Linked DNA regions of Styela clava. The protein of the gene in region 2 purifies or fractionates together with the protein of the main gene of each other region. This does not show direct contact. Links are inferred from orthologs where the notes say so. Each region holds a gene or a part of one and is shown on either strand. Other genes may lie near its edges.

Region 1 (7,690 bases), on a different chromosome or scaffold from region 2:
AATATCAGCTGTAGCGAATTTTTCGAAGGAGGGGTGAAAATGATGAACATTAGGAATCAAATTAAAGCTTTACAGGTAAAATGGGTGTTAAAATTGCTTGAAGGTTGTAATAATCCATGGTCTCAGAGAGCAAAGTATTTTGTAAATAACTATTTTGATGTATTATCGAAAGGTAACTTAGAATGCTTGTATTTGAACTTTAAATTGGAAACCAATATACATATACCGAAATTTTATACTAGTATAATCAACTCATACAAACAAATTGGCTTAAAATGGAATCAACCACAAAATATAGCAGAAATATCACAGGAAATAATTTGGCACAATCCTCTAATATTAGATAGAAATAATATTGAAATAACTGCTAAATCAAATTGGGTTCAGGCAAAAATAATTACTGTTAGTGATATCTTTGGCAAAACAATATATGATATTTCCAAAAGAGTGTACCCCCAGCTAGAAAACTCTGCAATAAGTACTTTAAGAAAAAACTGCTTGATAAATAAGTGCAAAAATGAATTACGGCAAATATGGGAAGCACTTCCAATAGAATGGAGAGAGATTTTATCAAGGAATAGGGAATTTGGTCAAACAAGAATATTAATTGATAGGTACAATGGGTCGAAAGACTTGACCACTAATCAAATTTATAGGATTTTACAAAGTAAGAAAAATGATACATTTTTGAAAAACCATAAGGAATACATCTTTAATAAATTTCACCTAACTAAGGCAATTAATTGGAATAAAATATGGAAAATAAATATTGGAAACAAGTATAAAGAGTTATGTTGGAAGTTAATTCATAATGGGTTGCCCACTGGAGACAAAATAAAACACTGGTTCATTGATGAACCAGGAATGTGTGTCTTATGCGAAAATTATGTTGAAGAAACTGTGTGTCATTTATTTTTAGAATGTGACTGGTCTATTGATTTTTGGCAATGGTGTTGCATAGATATTAATCAAAATACTATTATAGCAAACGATTCGGAATGCAAATCAAAATTAATCGCAATATTATGCGGAAAATCAACAATTTGGGAATATCGAAATTCAGTAAAATATGATGAAATAGATAAAATGAAAAGTAGTATGCGTTCAATTTTCAAGTGTAAACTGGTAGGGATTTTAAATTTACTAAAAGAAAGCGAAAGAAATGAATTATTGTTATATGAGCACATGGATGATCTTTTACATAGGTCAATCATGATGTAAGTTTATATGCAACACCATACTCTGAAAATTATTGAAAGTATGTTATCTGTACATCATTTTCATAAGAGGAAGATGTATCGACTATGAAACATAGATGGCGAATGGGAAAAACCCAATATGAAAGCGTGGATTTTTCCATATTCTCTGTCTAATTTTTGTATTCTTGTATTTTTCATGCTAACTAAAAAATTAAAATAAAAACTGATTACCTGTAAATTAAAATTATATTCAACCAACTGATGAGTGGATTACATGTAGATTAACTCAACTTTTTTGGACATATATTGGATTATATTAAATTAATGACATCATGGTAATGGTATGAATTTTGTCTTTATTTTGATTTTTACTATTCATATGTATGGGGGAAATGGGATTAAATTAAAAAATGATAAACAAAAACATGGAAACAAAAAAATATCTATTTATATATTTATAATAAAATGATTTGATACCAAAATATTAATACGAAAATTCCGTTTGGCATTGGAATTTATTTGGCACGAAAAAAAAAAAAAAAAGTATTTTGAAGAGTTCGCGGAGCCCCTGGGTTTCTCTCGCGGAGCCCCGGGGCTCCGTACGGAGCACTTTGAGAACCTATGGACTACGGTACCGTACCTGTATTCTAGTTCTGTCTCAAGGCGGCAGGCATACCTACCGGTATTAGTAAATTTGGATAATTTATTCAGTTTGGTACCGTATTTGCTGGCAGTATAAAATTATAACGGCCCGCAGTGCAGTAGTAACATAAAAAGCTCAGTGAACTAGCGCTCAGCCAGCTGTTTGTTGCCATAGTACCGTACCGTACTAGATCAGTGCGGTACGGTACCTATACCGGTATTCTAGGATTATCTTCAGATAGAACATTTTCATTCCAGCATGTTCTTAGTACTGTAGACCAGGGTTTCCTAAATTTTTTGGGCCGCTGAGGCTGACCCCTGTTTTTGAATCCTATTTTTGACGGACCCCCATTTGCTCATATCACTGTATTACTGTATTAATCTCAGGGCCTAACCAACAAGGAGGGAAAACGTTTTATTCACTGATTTACATCATAAACCACATTACCGGTACTGCATTAATGTAAAGGATGAGGCTGCTTTTCGCACCACAATTTATCGATTCTCGGCGCAATTTGTGACAAGCAAACTGGTAGGTCCGACTCTACGGCAAGTGTTGACCTGTGTTTTGTCATCATATTGGTAAGAGCTGAAAATGCTGCCTCACACATGCACACATGTACAGATGTAAGTCGCTACAAAAGGCAATAAAATTTTAATTGCCTTTTCTGACAGCAATGGATATTCGTCTGCAATGCTCAATGGAAATTTGCAATGGACCTTAGTTTGGCTTGGGTAACCCTGCTGTAGACTAATGTTCTTATGAACTAGTATTTGCTGCTTATTTTTTCAAATTAGGATAGTAAGGAATTGTTCACTTTATTTCAAATTGATTTTAATATGTTTTTCACCGAAATGTTACATGTAAAGGTGAGAGGTCATATTTTCACTTCCTTGTTGATATAAAAGTGTCGAATTGTTTGTGTTTCACAATTGGGAATTGATTCAAGGTTGCCACTCCACAGTACGGCACACTATACAAATCGGGTGACATTGTCCCGATTCAGAGAAACCCATTTCACAGATGATCAGACACCCTCCCTTTGGGAGACGTCTGGACATTGTTGTCCCTCAATATCGGTAAAAATACAGTATAATGAAGTTGCGCAGAATACTACAAAAAAGCGCAATCTAGTAACGTCATCATTGAATTCCTTGGGAAAAAATAATCCGATTTACCGATGGAAAAATTTTTTTAACGTAGCATTCGAGAGTTTTTAGCAAAAAACGGCAATTTTGGTCATGTGACGGCCGCGATTAATTTGGATTATTTTTGAAACAAGCATGGCACGATATGAAGCATCTGTCATGGCCCCTGATGCCCCTCGTTTGTGAGACACATGGAGACGGAGTGTTTGTTTTATTGAGCCAAATGGAGGAAAATTCTTGGAATTTGGATAGTGTGCTGTAGTTCTCCACATGTTTCGAATTCTAATGGCACACCATTCCTTGTATTTGCCAAATTGGTGAATGTGGCACTTGGTTGTTTATATTCAGATATTACAATTGTGTATTTGATATTTCAAATTTAATATTTTCAGGGGCTAACCCTGGACAACTTGAGTTTTACCTTGATATGATCTTCAGATCTTGTTGTACATTTGAACCTGTCTCAAATGCAATTTTTTTATTCTGATTTAGTATTTATCAAGACAAATAAATAAACCTACATTCATATTTTACTGCTTCAGGCCTCATATTAATCCTAATATCATTGTTGACAAATTTTTATGGTGTGGTTGCAGAGTGAATATAATGGAAGACGCAGACTTGGCAGCAATTCGTAATAAGCGAATGCAGGAACTACAAATGAAGGCTGGTGATCCCAATCAAGCCAAACAGCAAGCAGAAGCAAAACAAAAGTATGATGAGCAACTTAACGGTATGCTTACACAAATTTTGACGCAAGATGCAAGAGCTCGTCTTAACAGTATTGCACTTGTAAAGCCTGAAAAAGCAAAGCAGTTGGAAGGAATGTTAATTAATATGGCCCGGTCTGGACAATTGGGTGAAAAAATGACGGAGCAGCAGTTAGTTAAAGTTCTTGAACAAATTAATGATAAAAAACAGCGAACAAAAGTTAAATTCGAAAGAAGAAGAGTAATGGATTCCGATGATTCAGACTGAATTTTTTTCATAAGCTTGGTCATGTATAAATAAATCTTCAGCCCCACTTAATATCACTATTTGTTGTGGAATTGCTTTAAGAGTTTGACATAAGTACAGAGTTTCTGGCATGACTATTCACTACATAGCACTACACAGGACGAAATTTTTTTTTAACTCATTAGAATAGTTGCCTTTAGAATATTTTGTATAAAAATTATGATTTTGTATTATTGTTGATTTGATTTATTGGTTCTGATGCCTTTTGTCACAGATAATGCTTTGAGAAATGTATGACCAGAATGATCTTATTCAAGTATATTGCAAAATCTGACAGTTCAATGTTTGGTTGAATTATAATCAAACCAAGGTATGCGAGATTCCAGTGATAGCTGTCATAGAAAATACACACCATTCTGTTTACAAATATGCTATAGTAACTCTTATTTTGTTTATTATTCCCTTTAAATTTTCCCGATAGAATGCAAAACTAGTTATTAATCTAGGGCTCTACTAAAATGGGAATTTATGAAACAATGTATATTTGAAACAAGAGGCATCAGAATGTTAATTTGTATTTACAATTATTATTTTGGAAAACATTCGAATAAGCTATTTATACAATAACAAGATGGAGACAATGCTTTTTGAGGAGATATTTTAGTGCTAAATAATATCAGCTGTGTGTTAATTTTTTCATCAAAACTTATTATCCATTTTTATTAGCCTTGATATATTTTTTCACTAAATTAATCTTATTAAGGTAATATCAATGAAAATCTTAGTATGGCTTGGAATTTGTATCAGCTTTGGAAAAGGAGTGGTAGATAATGAGGTTAGATGCTTATTATCGACTGTGCTAGTGATGACTTTTATTGAGCTGTAATCTTCAGCTATTAGTTTTCTTGTGTTCAAACATATTTATATTTGTATAGGCCCGGTTAAGCAAGTATGAAATTATTTATCAAATTCAAATCATCTTCGGTTATCTGATGAAATGCTTCTGTTTAGTTTTTTAAAACATTACAAATTGTGTTTACCAATTCCCATGAATATTTCTCTTTAGGATGTCTGTTCCCTGCAATCATGCTCAGATCCATACCCTCCTAATGGATCATTTGTTGACAATTGCAATTCACATCCTATGCTGAGACTTCAGGGACATTGCTGTGAGAACTTCTCATCTGGACATGTTGTCGGGTGAGCTGCCTTAACTTAATATTGAACATAGGTTTATGTAAACCTGTTTTGGTGATCTCATAATAATCAGCAAACTTGTTTTCCAGAGTTATAACTTCAGCATGGATTTCTGAAATGACCCGTTGTTAATAGGCTCGATACAGAAGAGAACGCCTGTTCTTAAAATTTTGAATTCCATCTCTGCTTATATTCAATTTGATATGTTGTATTCAATATGTGTATTTTGCTTCTTTGTTTTTGTCATCAGAAGATCGTCATTATCTGCAGTGCCGTATCAGTTTTATTTATATTAATCATTTTTGTTAGTAGACTGTATATTCAGCCAGTGTGCCACAACCTATGAAATAGATATTTTCATCCTTTAAATGTTCTTTATTTTAGTATTGATCTGTCTTTCTGCAAGCTTCGTAACATCAAAACATTGTTTCATCAATATACTGAAGTTACAAAAATGTGAGAGTCACTTTTGTTAATTTAATTCGGAATTTTAGATTGTCCACTTGTTTGAGATTTGGGTGGTATTTGACTAACTTTGATGTGAATATCAGGTAACTATGGGGTTCAAATATCTTGTATCAATCCAGCACTTTAACAATTTTTTTTTCATGTAATGTTGTGTTACTTCCTCAGACCAGCAGTTCACAACAATGATAGGAAAACTGTAAACTGCTTGTATTAGGATTGTTGCAAAATAATGTTTATGAAAGTGTGATGCAAGGTGTTTGACCCTCTCAATATTATAGTCATTGTGTTGTGATTAATTTTTGTGAACAATATGCATACATTATTTTATAGTAATCTTACAAACAACCCAGATTTGAAGTTTCAAAATACAAGTTTTCTCGGGCTGAAGAAACTTTGTCAAATGTGAGTAACAGTATGCTTTGCATTCGTGTCGCGACTATGGTGGACCAAAATGGCATAGTGCAGTGGTCCCAACGTTTTCAGTGCTCAGTCAATTAAAACAGTCAACATGGTATGGACAACAGTTTTCTCGATAGACTACAATGACATGCAGTTTCCTTGTGCTATTTTGTTATCGTATTATGCATGCAAGGCTCACAATTCAACTCTTTTCACCCAGGGTGCAATAAATTAGTTAATAACGAACTGGAAAGAGATTCTGTAGTAGTACCCTTTTGCCTAATAGTACCTGAGCCTTGTTTACAGTGAAAAATCAAGTGGTTTAGTCAAGTTTGTACAGTAGGAAGGTGCCGGTGGTAAGATACCATCTTTCTGTACTGTCACATACAATTGAAAGTGTTTTCTTATTTTAAACCAAATTTTTAACTTACCTGGAATAATTGCATTCAGTGGAGCAAATGAATATGCATTGTTTGGTAATTTCAGATCAGTAGATAAAAATGTTGAATGCAATAGTCAATGGAATTGGTTCAACAGTTCATGGCAAGCTTGGAACAATACTGAAGATGATAAGCATGACAGAAAATGCATCAATCAAACTAATACCTGCAACTTATTAAAGCAGTATCATAATTGTATGTTTTAATTCTTGTTATTAATATGTACTGAAGGAAAACTTATAAGCATTGGATTTTACAGTGATCACTGTGAAATCAAAATTACTCGAATTTGTGTGACCATAGCAAATGAAATTCAGTCACTTTAAAAAGGGGCCGATTCTTGAAATTGAAATGCAGTAGCCTTAACTTTAATCTTGAGCCTTAAGTAAACAAAACTCCCAAAAAGAACTTGTTTGGATCTTGACGTTGACAACATGATAACCTGAATTTGTATTCTTGAAAGCATTCGTTTAACGAAATCCACTGGCCTTTTGTTCGCTTATTTTCACTAATCTGCCACCTGGACTCACTGCTCTGGTCCGTTTAAGTTGATGGGACCTAATTGGCAATGGTGATATTGGTAACGTTGTCTTCATCTTGCTGCCTAAGTTAGTAAGTAAAATACTTTATTTTCAGATTTTTTTCATTCCAGATACATGTCCAGACAATTCAAATTGTATTAACAATGGACCAGGACAATTTTTATGTGATTGCAAGCATGGTTGGGGAGGTTACAAGTGTTTAAGAAAAACTGATTCAGACTTGAAGCTTCCTATTTTAGCTGGAACAGCTGCTGCAACTGTACTTTTATCCTCCATTTTGTGGTACACACAAAGAAGGCATGTGATATAGTCAACTTGAGACGGTCTGAATTTTTATCCCGCAAACAACTCAAGGCTGCAAAATGAGCAGAAATATGCTAACACCGTGTATCTCATGGGCAACAAGTTAATTCTGAACTGTATAATTTGTATGTCAACTTTATAGAGTGTCATACTCAAATTAATAACTGTGCAATATATTTATGGTTTGATTTTTATCATTATTGTGAGCTTCGATTTTTATCGTTATTGTGAGCTTTTTATAAAAATAAACAAATGTGGTTTTATTGTATCCCTCGAGTATTCCGAGAATCTAGAACAGGGTGGTGCAAGCCCAGGCCCGTGGGCCACATGTGGTCCTCCACTTTATTATCTGTGTCCCGCGTCGCATCGGAGGAGCAGTCGAAAAATTCTCAAT
Region 2 (6,747 bases):
TATGCTCATTGCCTAGGCTTGTCTTATTCAACAGTGCTACTATCTCCCGCCAGGTACAGAATTATTCACTAAACCTGTACATACACATATAGCCTGATGAGATTTACTATTACTGAATGATCAAATGCCTAAACTTTCAAATCCCGGAAAAGCAGATTTGGATTAAGGTGTGCATGAGTGGCAATCATCTACAACAGGGGTGGGCGACCTTTAATACAGGAGGGCCGGCCAGATGCAAATGACTGGGTGAAACCGCACACTGCACCTTTATTTAACATAGGCTATCTAATAGTTGAAGGCACAAAAAACAGATTAAACTAAATGAAAAACTCGTTTCACAGGCCACACAATTTTTCTTTGCGGGCCGCATTTGACCTGCGGGCCACAGGTTGCACACACCCAATCTAGACTACAATATTTAAAAATATTAATTACTGTAAATACCATAATAAACATGTCATGTAATACTAACCTGGCCTTCTTTCGGTCCATAAGTAGGGTTATATATTAGAAAAGAGGACAACTTTGCTGTTGCCATATTACAGCGGTTCAATGATAACAAATCATTAATCGTAGTATTATATATACAATATTTAAATATTGAAGAACTGAAATGAATGTTGAGTACCAATATGAATTCAAGAAATAAAAATTGCACTTTAATAATATGAGGAAAAATAAAAATACTATCAGTCAAAATAGGAATCATAACATCAGTTTCACAATAGAGTTGAACGAATGAAGAAAACAAACAAATTATTCGACTCTGGGAAAGGGTTATTATATACCGTGAATAGTAAATATAGTAGTCTCTATTTTATACATAACATTAATCAAAGCGTGATACAAAGTCTTGCTATATAGAAATGACCAATTTATTAATTTGGCAATTAAATCCATAATATTCAACTCATAATCCCCAACATGAAAAGGCATACATTATACACAGTAACAACACAATACAGAAAAAAAACATCCAAAATATGGCAAGATCCTTATACATGCGGTAGAGCGCAGAGGCTATAGGTTATCAAATCACATTTTTATTGACACATTATTAGTATTATAAGTCACAAATATCACTACATAAACATACAGTATATATTATACACAAAACCAAGATCTTTTTAATACATAACATACAAAAGCAATACAAGCTACACTAGTTTTCATCAATTCTTCGATAGCTTGAACGAAATGAGAGTAACCTTTCAAATAAACGATTGGCACAAGCAGAATGCTTCACAAAATCATTATAAAAAATTGGAAAAAGGCATATCAAGCTTGTTACATTGGAAATAATAAACAAATTGAAAACCCAATTCCAACCATAATTTGATTGTATAACTGCTACAAGGTATTGACCAATTGCTGCACCAAGGCTTCCAGTTCCATCTATAATCCCTGTTACAGTTGCTAGAGAGTGTTCACCAACAGCTTCCCGTTTTGCGATATCTACAGCAATTGCAGAAGATAAAATATTTGATACACCATTGATTAAGAATCCAACGATGGACATCAATATACTGTTAATGACAACATCGTTTGGCGATGATTTATATCCCCACAATGCAAAAGGCGAACCAAGAAGCATGAAAAATAAAACTAAGCTTCGAGTTTTGAAAACATCTGACAGTACACCTGCAATAATTCCACCAGCTATTCCTCCAACATCATACCATGTGGAGACACTAGATGCAAGTGAATCATCCCACTGGAAATGATTGGTTAAATAATACGGTAGCCAGAAAAGAAATGCATAGTTGACTAATTTCAAGCACGCGAAGCTGAGAGAATAAGGTATAACTCCAGGTAAGAATAGAGCATTTAGAAAAGACAATGGTTGAGATTCCTTTTGATGACTATTAGACAACATTGCAATTTCAGTGTTTTCATTTTCCAATGTGGTATTTGTAAGTGCATTGTCTTTATCTACAGTCTCCAAAATTGCATTAGTAGGTACATTCATGTCGTCTTCAGAATTGAAATCATCTTCAAGAGGTTGGGAATCTTCATCATCTAGAGTTCTTCTATCCAAAGATTCTGTCTCAACCGGTGGAGGAAGACCTACTTCAAGTGGTGTATTCACAAGGCCGAACACCACGACCAGTCCTCCACCCAACATCATAACAGATATGGTAAGAAATGCATATTCATAACCATAATTAATAACTGAAGATGTGATGACATTTCCAATAACATTACCAACCGATGCACATGATGCCCAAATTCCAAACACAAGGCCTCTCCCAGATTTACCAAACCAATTGCCAACAACTGCGACACAAGTTGGCCAACCAACTGATTGTATAATTCCCTGTAAAATCCACATGGATATGTAAAATCCTTTATTGTAAAAGTGTAACATTTGAGTTAAAACTCCAAAACAAAATAAAAGTATGCCAGATAAAAACATTGCTATGGCCAATGCTTTTCGCAGTTCCACTCTGTCAGCAAGAAAGCTTGTAAAATACATTCCAATAGCATAGGAGACTAAAAATAAAGAATCCAAGAGCCCAAGAAAGGGTTCTGCTGATGCATAGCTTGAGAACAATTGTCTGTCCTCCCATATTTCTTCAGGCCTTGGGCAAGGCCATGATAAATTACATGATAGTGGAGTCCATTCTTTTGAAAATGAATCTTTAGAATCACTGTAAGCCTTTCTTGATGCATGAAATATTGTATACACACAATATGTTAGAACAAATGCCACAATTTGATGATGTGACCACATTTTGATACATTTATTAAATCAGTCAATGTCAGCAGAATTTTTGTTTCATGGTAATTCTATAATATATATACATTATTAACATTTATAATCTGTAATTAGTCAAATGCTGTAAACTAAACAATTTTATGATCCAGTTATGACTGTGAGAATAATAGGGATAAAAAAGTACTGAAAAAAAAAAGAATAAACCAAGAAGAATGATATGAATGTTCTGTAGGACACATGAAAAAAGTAAACTGAAGACTTCTAACGCTTCAGATTTATGCTCACTTTCTCAAATTTTTGTGATAGATTAGTTTATAAGTTGTAAGTGGAAACAGCCACCTTTCCATCTCCCATTACAGGAAGAGCCTTCGTGCAGTTGCAGGCATACCCGTTAACCGCCGTCGCATGGCGAGTGGTCCATGGCGAGTTAGCCTCCACCCCCCAAGAACCCCCATATAGCCTACTGCCATGGGCCATTGTCATATCGTGGTATCCGAACTAACCCTAGATGCGAGCTTTCTTCCGAGAGAGCTAGCTCGCCATGTCTATTTTCTTTTTATTTGTTGATCGACATCGCGAGTTCGAGAGAGAGAGAGAGGGCTAACTCGCCATGACTATTTGTTTATATTTGTTGAACGACATCACGAGTTCGAGAGGGCTAACTTGCCATGTCTATTTTTTTTATATTTGTTGATCGACATCGCGAGTTCGAGAGAGGGCTAACTCGCCATGTCTATTTTCTTTCATATAGACAATGTTTCATCCTTTATACCTATTCCTTTTGTCAATTCTTCCGATGAGACCGATCCTGTTTACGTCCTTTTTATTTACCTACAATTACAAATGAGCAAAAAGCTAACAATGACGTGTAATTGGAATATAAGCCGCCGCTCAGAGACACTTTTCCGCTCAGACAGATATTCAAGCATGATTGTAAACATTGCCTCGTTTTAGTAGGTTTGCGTCTTATTCGTCAGTTTTTAGTTGTGTTTCCAAAACATAGTTTTAAATCAAATACCTTAACTGCAATTATGTATTCTGAGGACCTTTAGTTTAGTTACAACAATAATCCAAAATTGATATCGCAAACGATGCGATAGACCAGGGCTACTCAACTGGCGGACCGCGGTCCGAATCCGGACCTTTCGAGTATTGTATTTGGACCGCACCTAATTATTTATTTTGAATCATTAGCCCCACTTTTTGAATTTTCTATTATAAAATGACTTTCATAGTTTTGAATATATACGAAAAGAACTATAACACCGTAATAAACAATTTTAATTTGCTACTAATCATTAGTCGGTCGAGGAAGTGCTCGTTTAAGGATGCCGAAATATCAGTTCTGGAAAGACCGGACCCAAATAATTTTGAAGTTTTGTTTGCGGACCTTCGATAAAAATAGTTGAGTAGCCCTGCGATAGACTACCTTAATATTAGCTATCAGCGCCACGTGGTTTATTGTTTTGAATAAAAATGAGTTTTAAACATGTGAGCCAATTTGTAAGCGCCAACTCTCCAAAACTATCCCATAAGCAACGTTAAAATTTTTGCAATGAAAATATGATCCATAACGGCGCTATGTTGTGTTTTTGGCTGACTAGGGCTGGGAATGGTTTACCGATTTCAGATGGTTAACGGTTATCAGTGGCAGCGCGTCAATAGGGCCAACCGGGGGCCGGGGCAATGCCCCGGTTATTTTCGGTATAATAAAAAATATTCGAAAAATACCTCAATATCGGTTGCACAGACTGTCTACACTAGCCATATTCCCCCGACATGGTTCATTTTTCGCTCGCAAAGCCTTCGCCGAACGTCGACGGGGCGACGCCGATTTTGCCCCGGTTGCTCATTGTATATCGTATTCTCTCTTTTATCTTCCACTCGCCGCGTTTATCTCGTTTATTTTCTGTTTCTTTTACTAAATCATCCGGGTCGATCGGGCTGTCGGGGCTAGCCCCGAAATTATGACGACACAATGCCGACGTTTCTTACAACAACGTGTTGACATATTCACGCATTCCTTCTCGTTCGTTGGTTGCTTGAAGAGTTGATAGTTTCCTCGCCTTCGTTTTTGTCGCTCGTTTCACTATTTGAATCAGTTAGACCCCTTTAGTCCATTTGCTTTCGATTTTCCACATTCCTTTTGAGCTCCTCACTTCTTTCCGGCTTCGCATTTCTTAGCCTTAGACCTCATAATGAATAAGGTTGATGCACTACTTCGCACTCCGTTTTCGCAGTTGCCGCTGGAACAAAAATTAGAGGTACAACGTCTTGGGCCTTATCAACCAAAAAATTGTTCACTGGAACAATCCCATGACGGAGAAAAGCGTCGGCGTACATTCTGCGCAGAAACTTGGTATAAAAAACACGAATGGTTGTGTTACAGCGAGGACAAAATGCACTTTTTTGTTTTTATTGCCTACTTTTTGCTACCGCCCGTGACTCACGTTGGTGTAAATTTGGTTTTAGAGATCTTAAACATCTTTCCGAGCGTGCCAAGGATCATCAATCTTCTATGGAGCATCTGGACAATGCAGTAAAATACCGAACATTCGGAAATGTTAATATTGCAGCGCGGTTTCTATTCGTCGGCACAACCAAAACGTCGAGAAAAACCGCCATGTTCTCGGTCGATTGATAGATGTTTTGAAGTTCATTGGTTGTCACGAGCTGTCCCTCCGTGGGCACGATGAACGGGCTGGCTCTTCTAATAGAGGGGTATTTTTGGATATGGTGGAATACACCGCATCCCTAGATACAGTATTGGGAGATCATCTTGATGCCGCAACTGTTTCGAAAGGGACATCTAAGGATATCCAAAATGATTTGCTCGACTCAATGTATAAAATTTATTTACAACATTTGGCTCTGGAAATTGAGAATTGCCAGTTCCTTTCGATTCAGTCTGACGAGACAACTGACATCACGTGCGTTTCCCAACTGGCTGTGATTTTTCGGTTTGTGAAAGATGGTAAACCTACCGAGAGATTTCACAGCTATGTACCAATCGTTGATCGCACGGCTTGCGGGATATCGGCTGTACTGAAAGAAGTGTTACAGCCTTACAACGCGAAGTCAAAATTGATAGCTCAAACTTATGACGGCGCGGCAGTCATGAGTGGGTCGAAACATGGTGTTCAAGTTTATATAAAAGAAGATTTTCCTCATGCGCATTTTTTACATTGTTATGCACACCAATTTAACCTCGTTATTAAAAAATATGTGTCTTGATACCCCTCTCATCCGTATATTTTTTGCAAATGTTTCGGGGTTTTCTTCATTTTTTTCCGTTTCGCCGAAGCGCTCTGACTTCCTTCGCCAGATATGTAGCCGCCGTCTCCCAACTTGTGCACCAACACGTTGGAACTTCCAATCAGGCGTGGTGCAGGGCGTGTCCAAAATTAAGTCTGAGCTCATTGAGTGTTTCAATGGCATTCAGAGCTCTCCGGTTTGGGACGAACGCTCTGTGAGGGAGGCGGCAGGTCTAAAGCGTCTGCTAGAAGATGGTGAGTTTTCATTTTTTCTCCACAATATTCTATCACGTGGATGTATTATACGGCGCATTGCAGTCAAGGCTAATGGGTGGCGCGTCTGTGCAGTCGTGTATTTCAGACTTCTGCGATGCTGTATCTCGTATCCGGGAAACAATAAAATACGACGACACATGGAGTGCTTCTTTACGCCGCGGGCAAACAACGCAGCGTTTGATTTTGTCTGCAAAGGAATGCTGTGACATTCTGGTGAATCAAATAGGCGATCGTCTGCGCACTGAACACCTTGCCGCGTTCTCTTTGATGAACCCCAAAAATTTTTCAAAATTTGCACGTCAATTTCCCATCCATTTGTTGGCTACTGTCTCCAAATTTTACCCCATGATAAACGTGGGTAAATTGGAAAATGAATTGCGATGTATATACACCAATCAAACTTTTTTGAACATCACATCAACTTGCGCGCTCTATGGGTTCCTCATAGATAACACTCTAGTAACTACCTTTGCGGCGTCTGCAAAATTTCTGGACATC

What was found.
Region 1: the proteins of sugar phosphate exchanger 3-like (region 2) and all-trans retinoic acid-induced differentiation factor-like purify together in Homo sapiens (affinity purification with mass spectrometry; 3 studies listed by BioGRID and IntAct, counting the BioPlex papers as one, with this or other methods). This does not show direct contact. The link is inferred for Styela clava from reciprocal best matches to the Homo sapiens genes SLC37A3 and ATRAID.

Annotation. Positions count from the first base shown.
Region 1 is NC_135257.1:1,748,923-1,756,612, forward strand, and holds all-trans retinoic acid-induced differentiation factor-like, read left to right. Parts: upstream 1-4,638; 5' UTR 4,639-4,719; coding exon 4,720-4,782; intron 4,783-5,013; coding exon 5,014-5,147; intron 5,148-5,528; coding exon 5,529-5,600; intron 5,601-5,942; coding exon 5,943-6,014; intron 6,015-6,497; coding exon 6,498-6,646; intron 6,647-7,103; coding exon 7,104-7,303; 3' UTR 7,304-7,564; downstream 7,565-7,690. Other genes in the region: programmed cell death protein 5-like, read left to right, coding at 3,597-3,968. UniProt on the Homo sapiens protein: Promotes osteoblast cell differentiation and terminal mineralization. Plays a role in inducing the cell cycle arrest via inhibiting CCND1 expression in all-trans-retinoic acid (ATRA) signal pathway.
Region 2 is NC_135260.1:15,858,769-15,865,515, reverse strand, and holds sugar phosphate exchanger 3-like, read right to left. Parts: upstream 2,853-6,747; 5' UTR 2,735-2,852; coding exon 1,163-2,734; 3' UTR 710-1,162; downstream 1-709. Other genes in the region: vacuolar fusion protein CCZ1 homolog, read right to left, coding at 473-709. UniProt on the Homo sapiens protein: Unlike the other SLC37 members, lacks glucose-6-phosphate antiporter activity.